Linked DNA regions of Canis lupus familiaris. The protein of the gene in region 1 interacts with the protein of each later gene in a biochemical or structural test. Links are inferred from orthologs where the notes say so. Each region holds a gene or a part of one and is shown in the gene's direction. Other genes may lie near its edges. The genes, in order: UBXN2B, PPP1R7 and PPP1R11.

Region 1 (3,591 bases):
TTAAGCATAATTTTTATTAGAAGACATCATAAAATACTAGTGGTAGCCTTTTTAAATCTGTTTATACTTGAAAATATATATTTCAGTACATAAATGTATTTTTTAAGTTAAGATTGGCCTAAATTATTTCAACTTCTGAGTCACTAATGTTTTATGGGAAGAAATATAATTTCTTACTTAAGTATATACCTCTCAGTAACATAAAACCTTCATTTTAATATAAAATTTTCCTGGAAAGTATAAACTGGTTTGGCTAATTATAGCTGATCTAGTTTTGAAATATATATCGCACATTACCATAACATTTTTCCTGATAAACCATAGTGAATTTTTAGCTCATTTGCTATGTATTTTAGTCATTTACAGGTGGAGGATACAGATTGGGTAATTCCTTTTGTAAGCGGTCTGAATACATCTATGGAGAAAATCAACTGCAAGATGTAGGTACAGTAACCAAAATGAAAAGTTGCAGATATTTGCCTCTAGTGACTACTGTTTTTAAAGTTAAAAATTGGTAATATGAATATAATTTCTGTTATTTTTGAAACCTGGATTTTAAGACTAATGTGTAAGCTTTTAGTCTCAAATTTTATATTGTGTCTCAATTATGCCTTGTACTTAGATGGTAAATATTTTCTATATGTTGAAAAAAGATAGGATTCATTGTCAAAATGAGCTTTATATACATACAGTAATTATTATAAATAGTATAATGTCATTAATAGAGAATTAGCTAGGTTATAAACAGGGAAATCCCTAAAGTCATTATTTGGATTTGGCTTTTAAAATTTGGAGTTATAATTTCATTTAAACATGTGTACTTTAGCCCTATAGGGTCACTGAAAGTTCTGTCTTGCCCCTTGACATAAATATTTAAGCCCTGTGCAGCAGACAAGAATATAGGTACAGATGACGGAGAAAAGCGGATGTGGAGTAACAGCTGGACACTCTAATCGCTTTCATTTTCTCAGTGACCCAGACTAATTGTACATCAAGGCCAGGATCTAGCTGTGAGACCTTTGGCATTTCAGCCATTGTCACTTTGTTAAGTTACATACAAATCTGCCAAGCAAATACTCATGCGTTCATTTACATCTTTAACAGTAACTAAAGAATAGAATGAATAACTCCATATTTGAAATAAAGTAGGTGGTTTAATATGTTGTGAAACCGCATTTGAAGCTTAAAATTATTTGATGCAAATGGATTCTTGTATTTCTTTTATCTTTTTTCCTATGTTCAAAAGGTTCAGATTTTGCTTAAACTATGGAGTAATGGTTTCAGTTTAGATGACGGAGAACTGAGACCTTATAATGACCCACCAAATGCTCAATTTCTGGAGTCTGTTAAAAGAGGGTAAGATATATTTACCTGTATTCTATTTGTTACTGAGGGTGGAACTTTTTTATTTTTAAGGTACTAGAATATATTATGTAAATAGGGGGAAGGGTATTTTTAAGTATCTAAAAGGATATATTGCTATCCATAAGTCTCTGGTTCTTAATTTGGTGGGAAGGGGCAATAGACATTGGTCACTTTCAAGATGTGGTCAAGCTGTGGTCCCCGTTCCAAGAAGAAACATCTCAATATAATAAATCAGTACAATTGATTAGCCTGTAGCTGCCCATCCTACTAAGCCACTGTCCTGCTTACTGTTAACAGGATGGCTCTCATTGCATGTTTGCCTGAAATTCAGCAACTTATATTAGAAATCTTTTAAAGTGGCATTTCTGCTGGTAGAAGATTTAAAAAGTTAGTTTGAAGTTACAATTTGTGAAAGTAAACCAGATATACAGTGCTCTGACCGATCTAAAGAATATCATAGCTCACTAAGCTCTTGCTAAAGGATGAAGAATCAAGTGATTTTGCTATGATTATAAAAGCTTTTCTGCATCATTCTTTCACTGGCTGACAATGTGATCATTCCTAAATAGAAATACAACCAAGCACAAAAGGTTGGTGATGAACTAGGAGATTTAAGTCACAGTGAAGAGACTAAGTAGGAGGTTATACTCCATTCAGGAATTAAAGGTGGGGCTTTTCCAAGTGATACAAATATGTCCAAGGAGAGTGGCTGAAGTGGAGTGGAGGTGAAACTCACTGGCATAGAGGGAGTCAAGGACCTCTAAAGGAACGATATCTTTAGAACACTAGCATGAAATTTGAATTTGAATTCTACAAAATAATGTCAGGACACCAAAAAATGGCAAGAAATACTGTAAACAGTATGCCAAAGTCATTGAGAAAGGTGGGGAGCTGTCCAAGGAGGTAGTATATAGTGGTGATAAATACAAGGAAATAATAATTTGAGTCAGTGCTGTGGACATGGAAACCTGAAGTCACTAGAAAGAGCTAGGAACGTGTAAGTAAGGGAATGTTCATCTGCTAAGGGAAGATCAACATTGTTGTTGAAATTGATGCTTATTTCAAAGATGTTGGAAGATAACATACTGATGATGAATGTACTATAATGTAGATCAAAACTCATTTATTCTTAATTGAAAATAAGCCAAAAACTTCGTGGGCTAACGTTCAAGCAGTCATGATGTCCTAAAAGAGGGTATTTTTTTTTTTTTAATCATGTCCTGAAGTACAAATTATGATCAACAACAGTTTTAGAAAAGAGTCCTTGAAGACATGACTGATGTCAGATAGTGGTTGTCAACTATTAAATCGCTGTCTTCTATTTTGTAATACTGTCTTCACTGTCCTCAAAGAATGACTCCATAGATAATATAATCTGTCCCTACATATTATTTCCCCCAAAAGATATAATATTTATCTTAAATATATTGAAATAAAATATCATAAAATTGTATATATTTCAGTTTATAAATGCTTTTATTTGACCACACCAGAAGACATAATAAAAGTAGTCAGATAGTTTGCACCTATGTGCAGTCTAGCACTTCTCAAGAAAATGTGACAAACATAAAAACAGAATAATGAAGTATGTGCGGTTGGCAGCATAATTACTAGCAGTGGCTTTGTAGTCAGGGACTTGATAAAGTTCCAAACAAAACACAGTCTTCTCTTGGTTTATATGGTACAGGTATTCCTGAAAATTTCAAAGTGTATTAATACAATGCTCCCCCCACCAAAAGAAAGTCCTTTTTTCTTCTTTGTAAGACAGACCTTAAGCTTTAAGTTTTAGGCTCAGACACTACAGTGTCCTCATTCATGCAAATCTCTAGCAGGGCATTCAGTGGTTCTGTGGGACCCAAGACAAGACTTGATTAGGCAAGATGAATCCCTATAGAAGAGTGCATCTCGTATCTGGATCCTGACCCTGAACAACAGCAGTCACGAACCACATAACAATCAAATACATCAATTTTTAAAACTTCTTCCAAAGATTTTAGAAATAAATATCTTCATTAACTATTATGTCTTCATAGGAATTTTCTAGTGCTTATTTAGGTATAAATTACTGTCTTGCAATTTGGGTTTCTAAATGTTAGAAGCACTCCAAGATCACTGTGACAACAAAAAGTCCCTATATTGAGAATCACTGGGAATGAGGTGATGCAACTTGTTTTAAAATTTTAATTCCAGTATAGTTAACATACAGTGTTATATTCATTTCAGGTA
Region 2 (4,192 bases), on another chromosome or scaffold:
GGGGGTGGTGGAGAGCGGGGGGGGGCAGCGGGAGAGCGCGTTGGGGGGAGCGGGAGGGGGAGCCAGAGGCGGGGGAGCCGCGGGGCGGGGGGGCCTGCCACGGGACGCGCCTTCCCGCAGGAGACGGGGCAAGGACGCCTAGAGAACGCAGGCTGCCAGCTCCGGGCGGACTGTGCGCGGGCGCGGCCGGGCCCCGGGCACCCCTACACACACCCTCGTTCTCCCCGGGCCCCCCCCCCCACACACACACACGCGGGTCTCCCCGGGCCCCCTCCCCCTACACACACACACACACACACACACACACACACACACACACACCGGCCTCCCCCACACACGCGGGTCGCCCCGGGTCCCGGGCCAGGGCACCGCAAACGGCCGCAAGGTGGCAGCGGGCCCCCCCGGGCGGAGCCGCACGGAGGGGACGCGGGGGGCGCGGGGCTCCCGGGCTCGTCCGCCGGCCGCCTCCCCCGGGGCAGGCATCCATCTCACCTGCGGCCCGCCTGGGCCAAGCCGCCAAATTCGCCTCGCCGCGCGGGGAGGGGCTGATCGGCCGCACCGGCCAATCGCAGAACGACTCGCGTCGATGGACAGGCGCCGCGAGCCAACCAGTAGCGCCTGTGGGCGGGACTCCGCGAGCCGGCGCCCAGAAGCCCGCGCTAACGGTTGCTAGGGACGCACCGGTCTCCCCTTACGGCGCCCCGGAGGAGCCAAAAGAGACGGCGCCCCCGCCCACCGGGTCTGACCAACTCGGCAGCTCTGGTCTCCGAATCCGGAAGGGTGAGCGGCGCGGGGCTCCCCGTCTGCAGCCCGGGAGGCGGGGGGCGCGGGGAGGCTCCCTCAGCGGCGGGGCCGGCGGAGGCTGCGGCCCGCAACGATGGGCGACGTCCCGGACCCCGACGGGCGCCCCCCCGCCGGCGGGCGGCCCCGGCTCCGACCCCGGCTCCAGCGCGGGCGCCCTGCGCGGAGCGTTAACCGGAGGCAGCCGCCGCTCACGGACTGAGTCCGCGCAGCGACGTCGGGACGAAGTCAGCCGCGGTGCAGACGCAGCGGCGGAGCCCGGAGGGGCCGGCACGCACTCGGGGGACCCGCACGGTGCAGCCCCACGCGGAGACCCTGCACGAGCCCGCGCGCCCCCAGCATCTCCCAGGCGCTTCCCTCCGCTTGCCTGCAGCCACGGTCCCGTGCGTCTTGCTCCTCCCCGCTGCTCGCCTCCGGACGCCTCCGGACGCCTGCGGTGCGCGCTCAGACTACCTGTCCCGGGGAGGTGAGGCGGGCTGCTCCCGCGGCGGGGGCCCTCATGGCCTGCCCCGTGAACTACAATTCCCATGAGACACTGGGGCCGCGCAAGCGCGTCGGGGTTCAAGCCTGGCGTGGGAGCCCATTGGCTGAGCTGGCGCCGAGCCGGGAGCCCTGATTGGCCGAGGGGCCTGAGGCCACAGATTCCGGAAAGGGGAAGAGCAGCCAACATGGCGGCGGAACGCGGCGCGGGCCAGCAACAGTCGCAGGAGATGATGGAGGGTGAGCGGCTCCGCGGGGCGGCGGCCCGAGGGCCCGGGCGGGCGGGGGGCGGCGGCCCGCAGCGGCCTCGCCTGAGAGAAGCGGGCCGTCCGGGCTGCGGCTGCCGCTCCGGCTCGGGCCCCGCCGCGCGCGCTGACAGCTGCCGGCTCGGGGGCAGGGGCAGGGGCAGGGGCAGGGGCGGCCCCGGCCCCGGGGACCCGGCAGAGGCTGCAGCGGCCGGGAGGGCGCGGGCGGCGGGGCGCGGACGGGCGGCGGGGCCGGGTACGCCGGGCGTGCTGCTGGCGGGCGCCGCGCCCCGAACCTCCGAGCCCGGCAGCTCCTGGGGAAACTGAGGCGCGCGGCGGCGCGGAGGGAAGGGCTGGGCGGGAGCCGAGCGGCCCGGGCCCTCTGGCCCCAAGACGCTAAATCCGACCCTTTAGCTCCGTTGGAAAAAAATAATAATGATCCGCACGTGGTGCCCGCGTCGGCGGCCTGGGCGGGGGTCCCGGTCGGGGCAGCCCCTCACCCGGGCGCCAAGTGCCGGGAGGAAGGGGGGGCCCGGGCACCTGCACACGGGGCCGGGGGAGGACGGAGGCAAGGACCGTGGAGGGAAGCGGCCAAGAGTGACCGCCCGGTCGGAGGAGGGCGGCAGGGGAAGGCCGGGGCGGCCCCGCGAGGGGCTGGGTGTTTGGCAGCCAGGAGACAGCCCTCGCTCCGTCCGCCGCACGTCGCCCTTTCGGAGTCTGGGTGAATGGCACGTGCAAAAGCCAAGTGATTCCGTCCCCGGCCCGGCCCGGCCGTCCCCACCCATCCCGTTACCCAGCAAGCTCCCTAGCACGTCCTGGCATCTCCAGGTCTTCAGTGCCTCCTCCGTTCCCACTGCCCATGCTGTGGGCCAGCCCCTTGCTCCCGGGATCCCGAAACTGCACCATAATTGGATCCGCTGCCCCAGCTGCGGACCGTCTGCTGCCTGCAGGGTGGTCCCGCGTTGCACTTTGGCCTCCCGTCGTCAGGCGGAGTCCCTGCCGCCCTGGGCACAGCCACACTATGCCCAGTGGAAGGCGCCCTCCCTTAGCCTCGGCCACAGAGTGCCCCGTGCGTGGTAGCAGCTAACTGCCGAGTGTTTAGTGCGGGTCATGCACATGCCGACTGCCCCGGAGGCTTTTCTGCGTTAGTCCGGACAGCACCTCTGGTCTGTGGGGCCTGTCCCAGCCCCCTGGTTACAGATGCAGAGAGCGAGGCTTGGGAAAGCCAACAGCCTGTTGGCACCGGGTCTCTAAGGGCAACGTGAAATCTTCAGCAGGAGCCCCCGGCATTCCAGAAACCTGTAGAGTCAGAGCTCAGATTCGGATGTTAGAATCGCATCAGATGCTCTGGGAATGCAGAATAGATGAGACAAAGCCCAAAAAAAAGCCACAGAGAGACCAGTTAGGAGGCCAGGAGGGAGCCCAGGCAGTCGCCAGAGGGGGGCAGAAGCAATGGATTTGGCGGTTTGGGAGGCGGAGTTCATAAGGACTTGGTTTTATCCAGCAGTCGCTTCCCAGGCGCGCTTTTCTCGGCCCAGGAGGAGGTACAGAGAAGAAGTAAAACTACTTTTCCCCCAAAGAGTGCACCCCTTTGTGGACGAGGCGTAGCAAGGATGATTGAGGACTCCCAGGGATTTATTCCTGTTTCAGCTCTTTGAGACAGACTGCCAATGGAGACGATGAAAAAAGTCTGGAGAAGGGAAGATTATTTGACGGTCTTAGCAAAGAAATTTTGCCAGTCTGCCACGTTTAGTCATTGCCTTATCTATCAATTCAGAAAGTACTTATTTACCAGCCTTTCAAAGCAGTTAGCTGGTATCACTGTGTGCTGATGTTTGGCATCGGTGACCTTTATGTGGGGCGTTTGGCGCTACTGGCTGTCTTCGCCTTTTTCATTACAGCCCCCCCCTCTGCCCACAGTCTGATTTGAGTTAGTCTTGATTTCTTTCAGAACGTGGGCCTGTGAACTGGGCTGGTTTTCTTGGCCAAATGGATAGTGGAGCGTGGATGAAGGTATGTGGTGGAAGGGTCACACTGGTCCCCTCTACGTGGACATCCAGGCCAAAAGCAAGCCGCACAGGAGGCGTTCACTGTGTGTCACCCATTAGTACCTGGTCACAAATGACCCAGGGCTTTCAGAACACCTGGTAATGCTTCACAGTGTCCTCGAGGGCAGGAATAGTAGCTGCTCATCTCAGTACCCGCGTGTCCTTCCCGCTCTGCCCTCCCACACACAAATTGTCCCCAGCACCGTGCACCTCAGGTGGCGCCCAAGACGCGGAAGACACTCAAATGTTTGTCGAGCTGACTTCAACCGATGTTTTTCAATGAAGTCTTTTTGACTTACAGCTGGATGTCCGTCTGTTAAATGTTCCTCGGGGAGTCACGTAAAGTGGCTGTGAATTCTTACGGATGTGTGTGGGCTCAGTTGACAGGCGGGTCGAGTCTGAAGAATCTGGCGATGAGGAAGGGAAGAAGCAGAGCAGCGGTATAGTGGCCGACCTCAGTGAGCAGAGCCTGAAGGATGGAGAGGAGCAGGGAGAAGAGGACCCAGAAGGTACCAGGCCCAGTTAAGAGCCTTCAACTCTCTAAGGGGGGAGGGTGCAGCCGTGTGGTGCATGATCTGCTCTGCCCCACCCCACCGCCTTGGGTGGTGGGCAGGCCAG
Region 3 (4,220 bases), on another chromosome or scaffold:
AGTCCTACATCCAGCTCCCTATAGGGAGCCTGCTTCTGCCTATGTCTCTGCCTCTATTTCTGTCTCTCACATAAATAAATAAATCTTTTTTTTTTTTTTAAGTAATTACAAGTATTCCATGACTAAATGTATTTGGTTCCTGAGTTTAGGGAAACAAAGCAGGAGCCCAGATGCTGGGAGATAAGCAGATAACGTAACCAGATGTGTCTGACGTGTGAGCTGGAACAAGGAGAAGTCTGATACTAAGGTTTACCAGTATATGCTGAACACATTGGACATTTTGAAAATTGTATTTTTTTATTGCTGTTGACATAAATGTATATTCATTGTGATAAATTCATATATGGAAAGGTAGAGTAAAAAATGACAAGGAATCCTACTTCAGAGAGATACTTTTTTTTTTTTTTTTAAATGGGCTTTACTACGAATACAAGTTGTATCTTGCTTTTTATCACATTGAACGAAATTTTGTAGTCCGGCCACAATAAACATTCAAACTTAGTTTGGAGTCAATTTTTGCATTCCTTGGCTTGCACACTGCCCGGTCCTTTGTGTGTTCTGAGCTCTGAGACTTTCCCTGAGGTGTCTGAGCCCCGGGCGACGTAGTGGGAACTGATGGGACGGGCAGGGCGGACTTCCCTGACCACTTCTGTTAACAGGCATCGTCCAGAGTCTCCTCCCCGGTTGCTGCCGGATGCCACCGCCGGCGGCGGCCCTCACCCCTCCCGCCGCGGCTGGTGCAGGCTCCCCAAGCTTTCCCTGCAGAACCTCATGCCTGCAGCACGCACCTGGCCTCACCCGCACCTGCCAACCAGGCCCCTTTGGCCATCTCTGCCCGACAAAAAGGCAGGTGCTCCGTGGACCGCAGCTCGGCCTCTGCTGTCGGTAGCTCTTGCGGGCCACTCGGTAGCGGATTTCACCGCCACGCCCCGCAGCCTCGCTCACGTCAGCATCTCAGAGCCCGCACGTTATTCCTACACCCACGAGGCCCCCAGAGGACTGCGGGAGGCCGAGGAGGGGGAGGGGGATTCCCGGCGGCGCCTAAGGGAGCCCAGCCCTGACCTGGCGCTTGCACCTGCTGGAGCTCCGGGGCCGGTGCTCCAGTCCGGGACCAGGCGCCGCGCGGCGGGGGTCCCGGCGCCCGCACCACGCACCTGGGTAACCGCATCCCATACCCTGCGCCCAGCCAGGGACCTGCGCCCCGCCCCCGCGGCCCTCGGGGACCGCGCTCCCGCCGGGTCTCGGGCCGCGCCTGCGCAACGTCCGCTCCCCGCAGCGTCGCCTTCTCTGCGGGCTGCGGCACCTGCTCACCGTCACGTGACGGGAGAACTAGTCCGGCGGCGCATGCGTCCGGAGACCTTCGGCGCCAGGAAGGGACGGCGACGGCGGAGTGCGTCACACCCGGAAGCGGCGAGCCGGAAGTGGAGCTGGGCAGGTTACCCCGGGGGGAAGCGGAGGCCGAGGAGGAGGGGCCGAGGCGCTGGAGGGTCCTGGCTGCTCCTCCGAATCCGATCCCGATCCCGATCCCGGTCCGGTCGTCTTAGAGCTCGGAGACACCGGGAAGGCCGCTTCCTGCCCCGCCGCCCTCTGCCCTCTCCGCAGCCTCAGCCATGGCCGAGGCAGGAGCCGGGCTGAGTGAGACCGTCACGGAGACCACCGTTACCGTGACAACTGAGCCCGTGAGAAAGGCGGGGGACGGTGGCGCCCGCGGCGGGGACGGGGACGGGCCGGGGGCGGGGGCGGGGCGGGGTCAGGGCTGCGGAGGGGGCGGGCGGGGGGGGGGGGCGTGCTGGGGACTCGGAGCTGGCGCGGGAGCCTAGGGGGACCCCGGGGGCAGGGCCCAGCGGTGGTTCCGTTGCAGAAGGCGCACCACAGGCTCAGAGTCGGGGCGGGGGACCCCGGGGCGCCCCCTGGGTCGGGAAGCACCTGACGGACGGCCGCCCGTGAGCGCCCCTCGAGGACACCAGGGCATGATGTGGGAGTCCGAAGAGGTGCAGCTCGGGACCGGAGTGCGCTGGGCTGCACGCCTTGTTGAGGGCCCTGGCAGGACCGGGGCGGGGGCTGGGTGCACGGGTGCGGGCGCAAGCCCGGGAGGGTCCGGGGATCCTCACAGTGAGCCGCAGGTGAAGGTTAGGTCCTGGGCGCTGAGAAAATCCTCCTCGAGCATTAGTCACACCGAGGCCGATGTGGGGAGGAGGATGGAGAGACGGAGAGGGTTGAGCTTTCCCTGGAAGATGTGCGGGGACCCTCCTAGGTTAGTTGTGTTTTCTCTGTCCACGAAGCTGGGATGGACACAGAATATGAAGCGGCAGAATTCCCCAGGGACCCGGAGGTCACACACTTGTGCGCTACCCCACCTGCGCCGGGCCCCTCTGCCACCCTGGGTGGGGCCTGATGGACTGGGGTGGGGGGTGCTGGGAGACATGACCCCCCAGGGAGGGATGAGGAAGGGACGGCCAGAGGGGACCAGATGGCTATGTCTGTCTTTCCCCACCTTCCAGGAGAACCGGAGCCTGACCATCAAACTGCGGAAACGGAAGCCAGAGAAGAAGGTAGAATGGACGAGTGACACTGTGGACAATGAGCACATGGGGCGCCGCTCATCCAAATGTGAGTGCTCACTGCCCTGCTGCCCATCCCCACCCCACCACCCAGCTCTGGGTGGGGGAGCCCAGGTGCCTCCTCTGTGCCCCCACCCCTCTTGGCCTTCCTTCTCACACCTGACCACCCTGAGGCCCCCAGCTGCTAACAGCCTTGTCACAGCCTGGGTGGTTCTCTGGCTTCGGGGACATGGATTAAGGTTATAGGGGAGACATGGAAGTGCCTGGGATTGGCAGGTTTGTGTGCCTGAGCCCCAGGGGCAGCGGGGCTAGAGAAGCTGGACCCTGGAAGGAGAAGGAGCCAGTGCTGACACCCAATAGGAGTACAACTGATTATATGTTAACTGGTGCTCCTTTCCTGGCCTCCTCCCTCCGAATCCAGGTTGCTGTATTTACGAGAAACCTCGGGCCTTTGGCGAGAGCTCCACTGAGAGTGATGAGGAGGAAGAGGAAGGCTGTGGTCATACACACTGTGTTCGGGGCCACCGCAAAGGACAGCGTCGTACAACCCCAGGACCAAGCCCCACCAGCCCTCCGCAGCCTCCTGACCCCTCCCAGCCCCCTCCAGGGCCAATGCAGCACTAAATTCCTCTCTCCCCCACCACTCCTGTGTTTGTCTGGCCCTGACTGTATTCATGTGGCTACCTGGGGACTAAACCCACATGGTTTGATCCCTCTCCAGCCCTTCTCCCTGCTCCTCTGCCTGACGGAGGGAAGATAGGAGGGTCCACAGAGATCCTGGAATTCTAACTTGCTGCTATTCCAGAGCCCAGACTTTTGGGTTCCCCCAGCCCTCGTTTCTCCTTCCAGTATTCATCCTCTGCTCTCCAGGGATTCAGGCGTCACGGTCCTCGTCTCTCCCCTTCGTTCTCACTGCCAAACTACCTGTCCTAGGATCCAATTATCGTGTGTGGCCCCTTGCATTCTTTCCTGGAGTCCCAAACGCTGAAATGGGGTTTTCAGCTGCCCCGGCTTTCACTGCCAGGGTCCCTGTCAGATTGGGGGCAGTGTTCCCCAGCTATGCCTGTTAATCCTGGCTCAGAGTTCTTCCAGTTACATATTTATATCACCCGAAGTCCTCGTCCTTACCTGTGGGATCCAAGGTCTCCCAGGAGACCTGAGGGCTCCCGGCAAGCTCCCGACCCTTCCCCTCTCCTGTCCTCCTCCCTCATGCCCTCCAGAGGAGCTGAGGGAGAGAGGTCTGTGCTTTCTCATCTTTAATGGGAGATGTAAAAGGAAACAGGTATGGCCTCTTCTCACCCTTCTCATAAGATAAAGGATTGCCAACACTTGAAGACTGGTCACTTAGAGCCAACAATCTCCTCCGTCTTCTGGCATCAGAGACCAATCCTACACAGTCCCAGGGCCCTGGGTCCCTGAGAGAGGAAAGAAAATGCAGGGAGCACAGAGAAGGGGCATGTCCCAGACAGTACCCTCATCCTCCTGCCTTCCAAAGCCCAGATGTCCAGCTCTCTGCCCTTCCCACTCCTTACTGGGATCTTGACATTTTCTAGGCCTCTGTGCCATGCACAGTTGCAGAGATGAGTCAAATCCATACCACCACTGAGATCTCATTTATTGCCACAGATGCACAAAATAAATAACCCAACATCACAAAAC

What was found.
Region 2: the proteins of UBXN2B (region 1) and PPP1R7 form a complex in vitro, tested with the Homo sapiens proteins (2 studies listed by BioGRID). The link is inferred for Canis lupus familiaris from reciprocal best matches to the Homo sapiens genes UBXN2B and PPP1R7.
Region 3: the proteins of UBXN2B (region 1) and PPP1R11 form a complex in vitro, tested with the Homo sapiens proteins (2 studies listed by BioGRID). The link is inferred for Canis lupus familiaris from reciprocal best matches to the Homo sapiens genes UBXN2B and PPP1R11.

Annotation. Positions count from the first base shown.
Region 1 is NC_049250.1:9,730,742-9,734,332, forward strand, and holds part of UBXN2B (UBX domain-containing protein 2B), read left to right. Parts: intron 1-356; coding exon 357-440; intron 441-1,246; coding exon 1,247-1,356; intron 1,357-3,591. UniProt on the Homo sapiens protein: Adapter protein required for Golgi and endoplasmic reticulum biogenesis. Involved in Golgi and endoplasmic reticulum maintenance during interphase and in their reassembly at the end of mitosis.
Region 2 is NC_049246.1:51,237,865-51,242,056, forward strand, and holds the start of PPP1R7 (protein phosphatase 1 regulatory subunit 7), read left to right. Parts: upstream 1-1,366; 5' UTR 1,367-1,469; coding exon 1,470-1,521; intron 1,522-3,477; exon of another isoform or gene 3,478-3,539; intron 3,540-3,954; coding exon 3,955-4,095; intron 4,096-4,192. UniProt on the Homo sapiens protein: Regulatory subunit of protein phosphatase 1.
Region 3 is NC_049256.1:27,782,095-27,786,314, forward strand, and holds PPP1R11 (E3 ubiquitin-protein ligase PPP1R11), read left to right. Parts: upstream 1-1,380; 5' UTR 1,381-1,610; coding exon 1,611-1,679; intron 1,680-1,861; exon of another isoform or gene 1,862-1,970; coding exon of another isoform or gene 1,971-1,991; intron 1,992-2,501; coding exon 2,502-2,610; intron 2,611-2,982; coding exon 2,983-3,185; 3' UTR 3,186-4,219; downstream 4,220-4,220. UniProt on the Homo sapiens protein: Atypical E3 ubiquitin-protein ligase which ubiquitinates TLR2 at 'Lys-754' leading to its degradation by the proteasome.